2 linked regions of the Bombyx mori genome follow. The protein of the gene in region 2 binds, or shares a complex with, the protein of the main gene of each other region. Links are inferred from orthologs where the notes say so. Each region holds a gene or a part of one and is shown on either strand. Other genes may lie near its edges.

What was found. The genes of interacting proteins can lie anywhere in the genome.
Region 1: general transcription factor IIF subunit 1 (region 2) and DNA-directed RNA polymerase II polypeptide share a complex: the UniProt entries of both Homo sapiens proteins name them as parts of the TBP-based Pol II pre-initiation complex. The link is inferred for Bombyx mori from reciprocal best matches to the Homo sapiens genes GTF2F1 and POLR2C.

Annotation. Positions count from the first base shown.
Region 1 is NC_085131.1:5,447,224-5,451,163, reverse strand, and holds DNA-directed RNA polymerase II polypeptide, read left to right. Parts: upstream 1-1,652; 5' UTR 1,653-1,763; coding exon 1,764-2,591; 3' UTR 2,592-2,622; downstream 2,623-3,940. Other genes in the region: L-threonine ammonia-lyase, read right to left, coding at 146-172. UniProt on the Homo sapiens protein: Core component of RNA polymerase II (Pol II), a DNA-dependent RNA polymerase which synthesizes mRNA precursors and many functional non-coding RNAs using the four ribonucleoside triphosphates as substrates.
Region 2 is NC_085121.1:15,714,117-15,719,636, forward strand, and holds the start of general transcription factor IIF subunit 1, read right to left. Parts: upstream 3,784-5,520; 5' UTR 3,524-3,783; coding exon 3,500-3,523; intron 3,225-3,499; coding exon 3,046-3,224; intron 2,637-3,045; coding exon 2,502-2,636; intron 2,138-2,501; coding exon 2,036-2,137; intron 1,838-2,035; coding exon 1,769-1,837; intron 955-1,768; coding exon 839-954; intron 233-838; coding exon 107-232; intron 1-106. Other genes in the region: kelch domain-containing protein 4, read left to right, coding at 4,502-4,612, 4,968-5,141. UniProt on the Homo sapiens protein: TFIIF is a general transcription initiation factor that binds to RNA polymerase II and helps to recruit it to the initiation complex in collaboration with TFIIB. It promotes transcription elongation.

The DNA of each region.
Region 1 (3,940 bases), on a different chromosome or scaffold from region 2:
TTACCGAGGAATGAGGAGTTTTACCGCCTTATCGTCCATCGGGTACTTATGAGAAATAGGGTCAAAGGTCAATAGGTGAAATACTGCACTGCAATAGAAACATTCAATACGTATCGTTGGGAAATAATTAGATAATATTACTCACCGAGGGCTCACACTTGTAACGCTCCATTTAAAAACTTTTTTTTTTATTGCTTAGATAGGTGGACGAGCTCACAGCCCACCTGGTGTTAAGTGGTTACTGGAGCCCATAGACATCCACAACGTAAATGCGCCTCCCACCTTGAGATACAAGTTCTAAGGCCTCAAGTATAGTTACAGTACAAGTATAGTTCCAATTAAAATATATTTTGTAACAGTTAATTTGGCAACACAAGTGCCAAGCTACAGATTTATTAACTGAATGTTGTTTATAATTGGAAATGATAAGGAACAACGGAGTACGTTAACTCGACAATCATTATTTACTGCGTAATTAATAATATTCTAGTGAATATTAATACATATGAATATATTTTAGTGATTTGGTTTATAGAGATAGCCAGTGGCGTAGCGAGGGGGGGCAAGGGGGGATCATGCCCCGGGCGCTATTCACAAAGGGGCGCCAAATGGTCCGCAAAACAAAAAATTGCTGATTTTTTTTTTATAATTGATTTCTAAAAAATATATTTTTAATTTAGTACCAATGTACTATAATAAATGTTAATTCGTAAATAAAAAGGAAAAAAGGGGAGTTTCCACGCGAGTTTAGATCGTTACGCCACTGCACATAGCTTATGTCGAAGATAACCTAGTTGTCCTTTATTTACATAGCCACAACTACAAGAAGTCTCGTTATAGTCATATTTTAATTACCGAAATTAATTGATGAAAAGAGTGGGAAAATTAAAGTTAACCGCAGGATGTGGCATCTTTGGTTTTTTTGTTGCCTAGATGTGTGGACGAGCTCACAGCCCACCTGGTGTTAAGTGGTTACTGAAGCCCATAGACATCTAAAACGTAAATGCACCACCCACCTTGAGATATAAGTTCTAAGGTCTCCGTATAGTTACAACGGTTGCCCCACCCTTCAAACTGAAACGCATTACTGCTTCACGGCAGAGATAGGCAGGGTGGTGGTACCTACCCGTCCGGACTCACACTATAATTTTGCGGGTTTGACTTTTATTACACGATGTAATATGTCAAGTACGTATTTCATTAGAAAAATTGGTACCCGCCTGCGGAACTCGGACACCGTTGCATCGCTAGATACGAATGTACCGGACGTTTATCCTTTAGGCCACGACGACTACAGGTCTACTGGCTTCTTCCAAAAACTCCATTGAGCTCTTAGTTAATTTCCAGCATTTTACCGAAACGTTATATACATCATTTCAGTTCATTCAACACATACATAAGGCTGGCAAGAATGAGTGAGAGAAGCTGAAGATCGTGCTCGGCAATTGGAGAGGCCTATTTTCAGCGTTGAACTACTATAAGTTGATGATGATGATACATAAGGTTAGCTTAGTTCCATTTTACATTCATTCACCAGCAAGGTTAAACATCTTTATTACAAAAAAATTGGTTGTATGAGCTTCGTTCCCTTTGTCTGTGTAGTAAATGAAACAAAAAATATGTGACAAGCACAGAGGTTAGAATTTGGCTAACAAGTTGATTGTTTGGAAGTGTTATTCGTTATTTATTTTGTTATATATTAGATGGTGTTAGTTTCATTAAAAAGAAACCTAATTCATTAAATTAGATTTAAGAAACAGAAAATGCCTTACGCAAATCAACCCTCTGTTCACATAACAGAACTATCTGATGAAAATGTAAAATTCGTTGTGGAAGATACCGAATTAAGCGTAGCAAACAGTATGAGACGCGTATTTATCGCTGAAACACCAACAATGGCCATCGATTGGGTACAGTTAGAAGCTAATTCCACCGTTTTGAGCGATGAATTCTTAGCACACCGCATCGGTCTCATTCCGCTCATATCAGACGACGTTGTAGACAAAATCAGGTACTCGCGTGATTGCATGTGTGTTGATTTTTGTTCCGAATGCAGTGTCGAATTTACATTAGACGTAAAATGCACAGATGAACAAACAAGACATGTAACAACTGCTGATTTGAAATCGAGCGATCCTAGAGTTGTCCCTGTTACATCACGACATAGAGATGAAGACCAGGCCGATTATGGTGAAGCAGATGAAATATTGATCATTAAGTTACGCAAGGGTCAGGAATTGAAGCTTCGGGCATATGCAAAAAAAGGTTTTGGGAAAGAGCATGCAAAATGGAATCCAACTGCTGGTGTGTCCTTTGAATATGACCCTGATAATATAATGAGACATACGTTATATCCAAAACCAGATGAATGGCCCAAAAGCGAGCACACTGAACTTAATGAAGATCAGTATGAGGCGGACTTCAACTGGGAAGCGAAACCAAACAAATTCTTTTATAATGTAGAATCATCAGGAGCTCTTAAACCAGAGAATATTGTATTAATGGGAATAGTTGTACTGAAAAACAAATTACTGAATCTTCAAGTGCAGTTAGCGCAAGAGGCACAAAATGATGCCTTAGCAATTAATTGATTTCATAAAATCTAATATTACAATAAATTTAATTAGATAATAAATGTTTTTGTAATTTAAGTTTACATTTTACCTTATGGTGTGTATAAGCCTTCATTTTTCAAAAGCTTAGAATGTTATACACAGTATTTCAGTCTGCAGTCTTTTTGAGAAAAAATCATACTAAAGTGAATGTTTCTGTTTCACATCAAAAACTAGTAATACTTGTGGAATGCAATTAAGAGGTTTATACACAACTTGCACAACATGAATACAACTTTAAACACAAATTAATACTACGGCCTTGTAATCACAAGAAACATATGATTTAATAATAATCTGCAGCTTTTTGCCTAAGAAGATACTCAGTAGCTACTAAATAAAAAAGGAAATTTTACTTTCTGATACATAGATATGGACAAAAAAATTAATGTTACAATAATTTCTGTTTAATTCATTGTACATATTAATTTAAGTAGTTAAACTTTCATAAAAGTATAGAAACTTAGAACCAATATTGTTTTATTATTATGTATACATAATCAATTAAAACATTTGTCACTTTATACACAGCAGTATTATTCTGTTGTTTAGAACAATTAGTGATGTGATCTTACTGCAAAAAACAATTCAAAATATTCATTAGATGTATATTTTTTAATTGCCCTTGTAGACAGACCAGCATACGGCCCACCTGATGGTGAGTGGTTACCGTCTCCCATGGACTTCAGCAATGCCAGGGGCAAAGCCAAGATGCTGCCTAGCGTGTTGAATAATATAAGTATTGGGTTCTTCAACAAATTTAAAAAGATTGAGAAATATGAAGATTAATAATTGTATTTATCAACTTATTTGCAGAATGCATGTTATTTAATTTAGTAAGCTTATAATATGATGTTAGCAAAAAGTTTGATACAACATTATATTTAAAAAAAATTGTAAAATTAATCCAAATTTTCAGAATATATATGGATTGGTCTCTAATATCACTCGTTGGCCACATTTTTTTCCCCATAATTATTCGCTGCCTAAGGGACTAGTTGGTCATAGACTGGTAGGTGAGCTCACGAGGCGTTGCCCCATCGACTGGGTGGATATGTAATTGGCAACCACCGCGATGAGGGCTATTGTGTCGCGCCGCTTTTTCAAAGCAACGTTCTGACGTGTTCTTAAGATACTTACGTATCGTTTCTGTATTAGGGCGTCGTGAAGATCAACATTCCTCACATACCACTGTGCTCCGACGGCTATCCTGCAGAAACGGGGATGACCTGGAGACAATTTATGCGTGGGCCGCGTGAGCGAACAATACCATGCATAGGTCATGTCAAGATATGCTAGTTACGAAGGGCCAATTTACTTCGGTTTCA
Region 2 (5,520 bases):
ACCCACGACGAAACAAACCCGTGCGAACTTTTATGACCAATACATTGGAAATCCGTTAACTAGTTCTGCTACCCCTAAAATTATAAAGTTCAGCTGACAGACTGACCTTTACCCTTTTTCTTCTTTTTGGCCCCGGAGTCACTGTCCTCTTCCTTTTCTTTTTCACCAGCACCGGAGTCCGAGGAAGCGTCGTCGGAGTCTATCCATTCGTCCATCTCGGATATCTTGAGGTCTATGAAACGTTTTCCTGATTAGACAGGCAGAGTTACGGTTCTCGGGCACGATGATGACACGATAGTTGTAAGACTGGTGGTAGGACCTCTCGTGAGTCTGCACGGGTAGATACCACCACCCTGCCTATTTCTGACGTGAAGCAGTAATGCATTTCGGTTTGAAAGGTGGGGCAGCCCTTGTAACCATACTGAGATCTTAGAACTTATATCTCAAGGTGGGTGGCGCATTTAGGTTGTAGATGTCTATGGGCTCCAGTAACCACTTAACACCAGTTGGGCTGTAAGCTCGTTCACCCATTTAAGCAATAAAAAATAAATAAATAAACGAGCGTAATTTTGTGAGTTGTCAGTTGCGTAATGCGTGCGGACTCACAAAAGGTCCTACCACCAGTAAAAACCTTTTGACCTCACCCTTAATAGCGAAGCCCTTGCCCGCAGTGGCTTTAGTAATGTAATGCTATAAGCACAGCATACCAGTACGAAGTCCAGCTGACGATGTTAGAAACCAACTACGCTTTAAGTGCTTGCTTTATTTTACCATAAGACCTACCATCACCAGCTTCAGCTGACCCCACCTCTGGCTTTGAATACCGGAAACTGAGTACCTTTTTTAGCTTTCCCTTTAGCTTTCTTTTCGTCTGGGTCCTCTTCGTCTGCATCGTCGACTCCGCGGAGCCGTTTCCGTAACATCAACGAGAAGAAATTCATAACCTTGTTACGCCTAGTGCAGAAAAAAATCGATCATCGACTTCAATGAAACATATTTTGAAATGTCACTAGAAACAGCAATGGATTCGGTCCAACCATCTTTCTCATATACTATATACGGGGCGACGGAGACCAAAAAGCAATAAATTTTCAAATAATTCAAACAATAAAGTTATTGTAATCATTCTCGTATATCTTTAATGTACAAAAAATAAACTTTTTTTTTCAAATTATTAGTTTTATAACAATAGTCTGTTGCCCTGAAACAGAGATGTAATAAAGTGTTTTGTCTTTTTTCTATTTAGATAAAGCATAAGTACTCAATTCTTCAAATATGCAGACAACAATAAAAAAATATATTTTAATTTTAAGTTCAACTATCTATTATGATCTGGTTTTTTTTTTCCTATATTATATTTATCGTTACATGCAGTGCGAAAAACAATCATTTAAGCTCTAGATCATTATCGTCAAAGGATTTAGGATAATTACAAAGCACCTTCATTTTCGGGAATGACAGTCTGTATAAAATATGAGTAAATGATTTACAAGTAATTTTACTGGTGGTAGGACCTCTTGTGAGTCCGCGCGGGTGGGTACCACCACCCTGACTATTTCTGCCGTGAAGCAGTAATGCGTTTCGGTTTGAAGGGTGGGGCAGCCATTGTAACTATACTTGAGACCTTAGAACTTATATCTCAAGGTCGGTGGTTACGTTGTGGATGTCTATGGGCTCCAGTAACCAATTAACACCAGGTGGGCTGTGAGCTCGTCCACCCATCTAAGCAAATAAAAAAAAATAAAAAAAATGTCATGGACCATCTTACCTGCCAAATTCCTGTTCGGCTTCTTCAGCTGACAGCGCTTTGTATCTCTGAATCGGTTGGAAATTGTACCTGTTAGAATTCAGTTTTTAGTTTCTTAAGAATTAACTACCTTCATTTTTCTACTATATTTGAGCAATTAAAAAAGAACATTAATAACACAAAATAATAATAAAGGAACAGAGATTCACACACAGCATTCAGATTATTTTTAAATAAAATAGAAGCATTTCTTTCATGTTTTGTAAATATTGCATGAACATTCCGTACCATTCCTGGAGTGGATAGGCGTCTATTGCGCCATCCGCTGCGTGAGTGAACACATAATATGCAGCATTCTCTGATACTCCACCTTCACGAATACCTTTGAATCTAAAAATATGATAATACATGATATGAAAATTACCAGTTACATATTAATTAGTATTATATAGAGCAAGCAAATAGGCATAACCACACGTTAGTCTATAACACAAGACTTTTCATTTAATTATATGCAGTTTTTCATCCTGTTTTCAATCATTGACTTTTAATGAAAAAGGAAGAAGTTCTGATTTAATTTTATTTATTTTATTTTTATCTTCGAACTTTTTCTAGGTTAAACGATTCTGATAAATCTTTTGTTGTGTAAAAATTGTTCCAACTCATGTGAAATTAAATTATTTCTTGTGCATTTGTTGTAAAGGAACCACCAAACAATATCAGAAGAGGTTATTGTTATTTGTTAATTACTAACTTCTTGCCGGTCTTTCCACCGACTTTCAGGATCCACGGCTGGTCTTCCGGTTTGTACTTTCTTGATATTATACCGAATTTCTTGCGACGTGCTTCCTCACGCATGTCCCGTCCGTATTCCGAGCCTGCACCAAATCTGGATTTGTGTGACGAGTATTACCAAAAATATTACGTAATAGTAGTAGTATTTTAATTCCCAAGTATTCAATAATCTTGGAGCTGTTAAGATCACTTTTTATAAAGGGTGTTCATGGCAAATCTATTTTTTAAAGCATTGAGTAAATAACCTTAATTTAAGGTGTGTCAGTCTTTAGTGTCAACAATGTTAACCAACCGGTTTCCAGTTTTTGACTATTCTTTGTATTATTATCTGCTAGCATGCAAATTTTTTGAGTTACAGAATTAACTTAATATTAAATAATTATGCCATAAAATTATGACATACTTTTCACATTTATTTTTAATGATGTAGAAAATTAATTTATGATTATTAAGTCAATCTATTTGATATCACCATCAAAGAGTTGAATTTTCTTAATACTAACTTGGGCATTTCCTCTTCAGCTCCTTTGAATTCTTTGCTGTTGTTCTCTCGCTCCATCTTGACATGAGTCCATTTTGCAAAATCTACATTCAATGTGGCATTGAACCTCATAACATGATACTTCTTCTTTACATTCTTTGGCACTCTTATTTTATACTCCTGTACTGTGGCGGCCGGTGTCTGAGAAATTAATTTATTATATCTGTGAAATCGTAACTATTGTTTAAATGATTACGATACCATTCTATGTATGATTTGGTAAAATTTATCAAATTTGGTTATATTATCCTTTTATGTACCTACTTACTTCAGTAAGAACACATATTCTTGCATATTAATTTAATATTATTTTGAACCTCACAATTTGTTGATTGTTTTAAGTTCTTAAACGAAAAAGGTGAAATATCGTATCACGATATTTCACCTTTTTCGTTTAAGAACGAATAATATCTTACCGTACTACTTCCAGGTGTAGACATTTTTTACACTTATATCTATAATATCAAGATTAATGACGGTATATAAATTTATCAAATGACAATAGTCCTCGATATCATGATCTCACTAACGTACACGTTAAATTTCTTCAAATCAAATAATTTATTACGTTACAGTTTACTCTTTGATTAAAAATATTGTAATCAATTAAAACAATGCTAATCGCAAACTGTGCTGGCAAAATGAAAATTCTGTCAAATTAATGTCAAAAGTCAAAATTTCATCAAGCACAGAGCACATTTCAGTCTGTCAATGAATTTATGATCATAAGTATCAAGTCATATATGACTAAATAATATTATCATTTAACTATGCTCATGACTTCTATTATTTTAATAAACATGCAATAGTCATTAGGATTTAAAACATTTTTTTCATACGTGACGAAAAAGCAATCTTATCAAATGTTTACAGCAGCTTAGCATATTGTCGTCCAGCATTAGAAATTACCCACAAGGTTAGTCACCTCCTCTTTGCGTCGATAATCCACAACAATGAGGGTCATGGCGTCCCATAATAATTTCGCTTGGACTATCCTGCGCCAACATTGCCTATCCTTGACTTTCCGGAGGGCATCGTGGACTGAGGTGTTGAGAGTAGAGGCAGCTAGTGCAATCATAGCATTGGACTTCTGCTTCTGAACCTTCTTCCGCATACTTTGCCTGTTACCAGCAATTATTCTAAATTGTCATCTTCTTTCTGACAATGTGTCCAAAGAACTCAAAATTTGAACGGAATCTTGAACTCAGTAAGAATGTATTTGTAGGATCAAATGTTCTATCAAGCCCTTCCATCCTAAAAGTTATAATCATAAAACAGATATGGCTTTGATTATTTTGGCTGTATTCCCATTGCCAATGAAAAAAGAAAAAAAAAACTGTTTACAATAATAATCACAATACTTAAAAATCTGTTTCATAAAATATTTAGAAATTTAAGTTAATTTATTTTTCATTAAAATGGGTAAAAAGAAAAATAAGAATAAAGTTAGTGGCGCTGTTAAAACCGCAGCAAAAACTGAAAAAAAGCTAGCTAGCAAATTAAAAAAAGAACTCGCAAATCTTGGTGAGGTTAGACCATGCCTTTTCGCACTATTTATTAGAAACTCTCAAAAAGTTACCTGAAATTACGCCCTAATGGATCTAATATAGTAGTATAAACTTAAATGTTATTGAAACTAACTTACTAAAATTATTTAAATGGGTAAATTTTGTAAAAGTCATGAAAAACATAAAATTAAATAATTCGAAATAATTTATATTTTTATGATTTAATCTAGCTTTAATTATTTGGAGATAATATAATAACAAAAACTACTTCTATGATATGACGTAAATGATAATAAAAGTCATTTTGTCACTAAACTAAAGCTGAAGAAAGAGCAAGTAAAATTTTAATAGAAGTTTTGTATTATGTATATTTCAGGAAGATATAGCTAAAGTGATAGCTGAGATAGAACGGGAGGAAGCTAAACGATATGCTGCATCAGAGAAGGTCCTCGAAAAGCCACCATCCTCCAGAGCGTACGCAACGCTCACCCCACATCCAATCAATAATGAGCTTGTGCTGTTTGGTGGAGAATACCACAACGGACAAAAGGTATCAATTTCATTTTTAGAGATATTACAATATTAGGTAAAGTATCATGATGGATAAAGAAAATACATAAATTGGTGTATCTGTAATTTTATAGTCCATCCAGTGTTAAGTTATTACTGAATTTAGACATTACAACATGAATAGCATTACTAACTGAGACATCAAGTTGAATTACTTCTTTAACCCTTAAAACTGGAATGCATACTTTGTGGCAGAAATAGGTATAGAATGATGATGAGTGATTTTGATAGAAGAATATACATACATAAATGTGCCTAATTGCTATCACTTTTACAGAATACATTGTGTGCTTTCATGACTTGATACTAACATACAGTCTATCAAGAATAAATCTATACATCCACTTTGTAAGGAACTA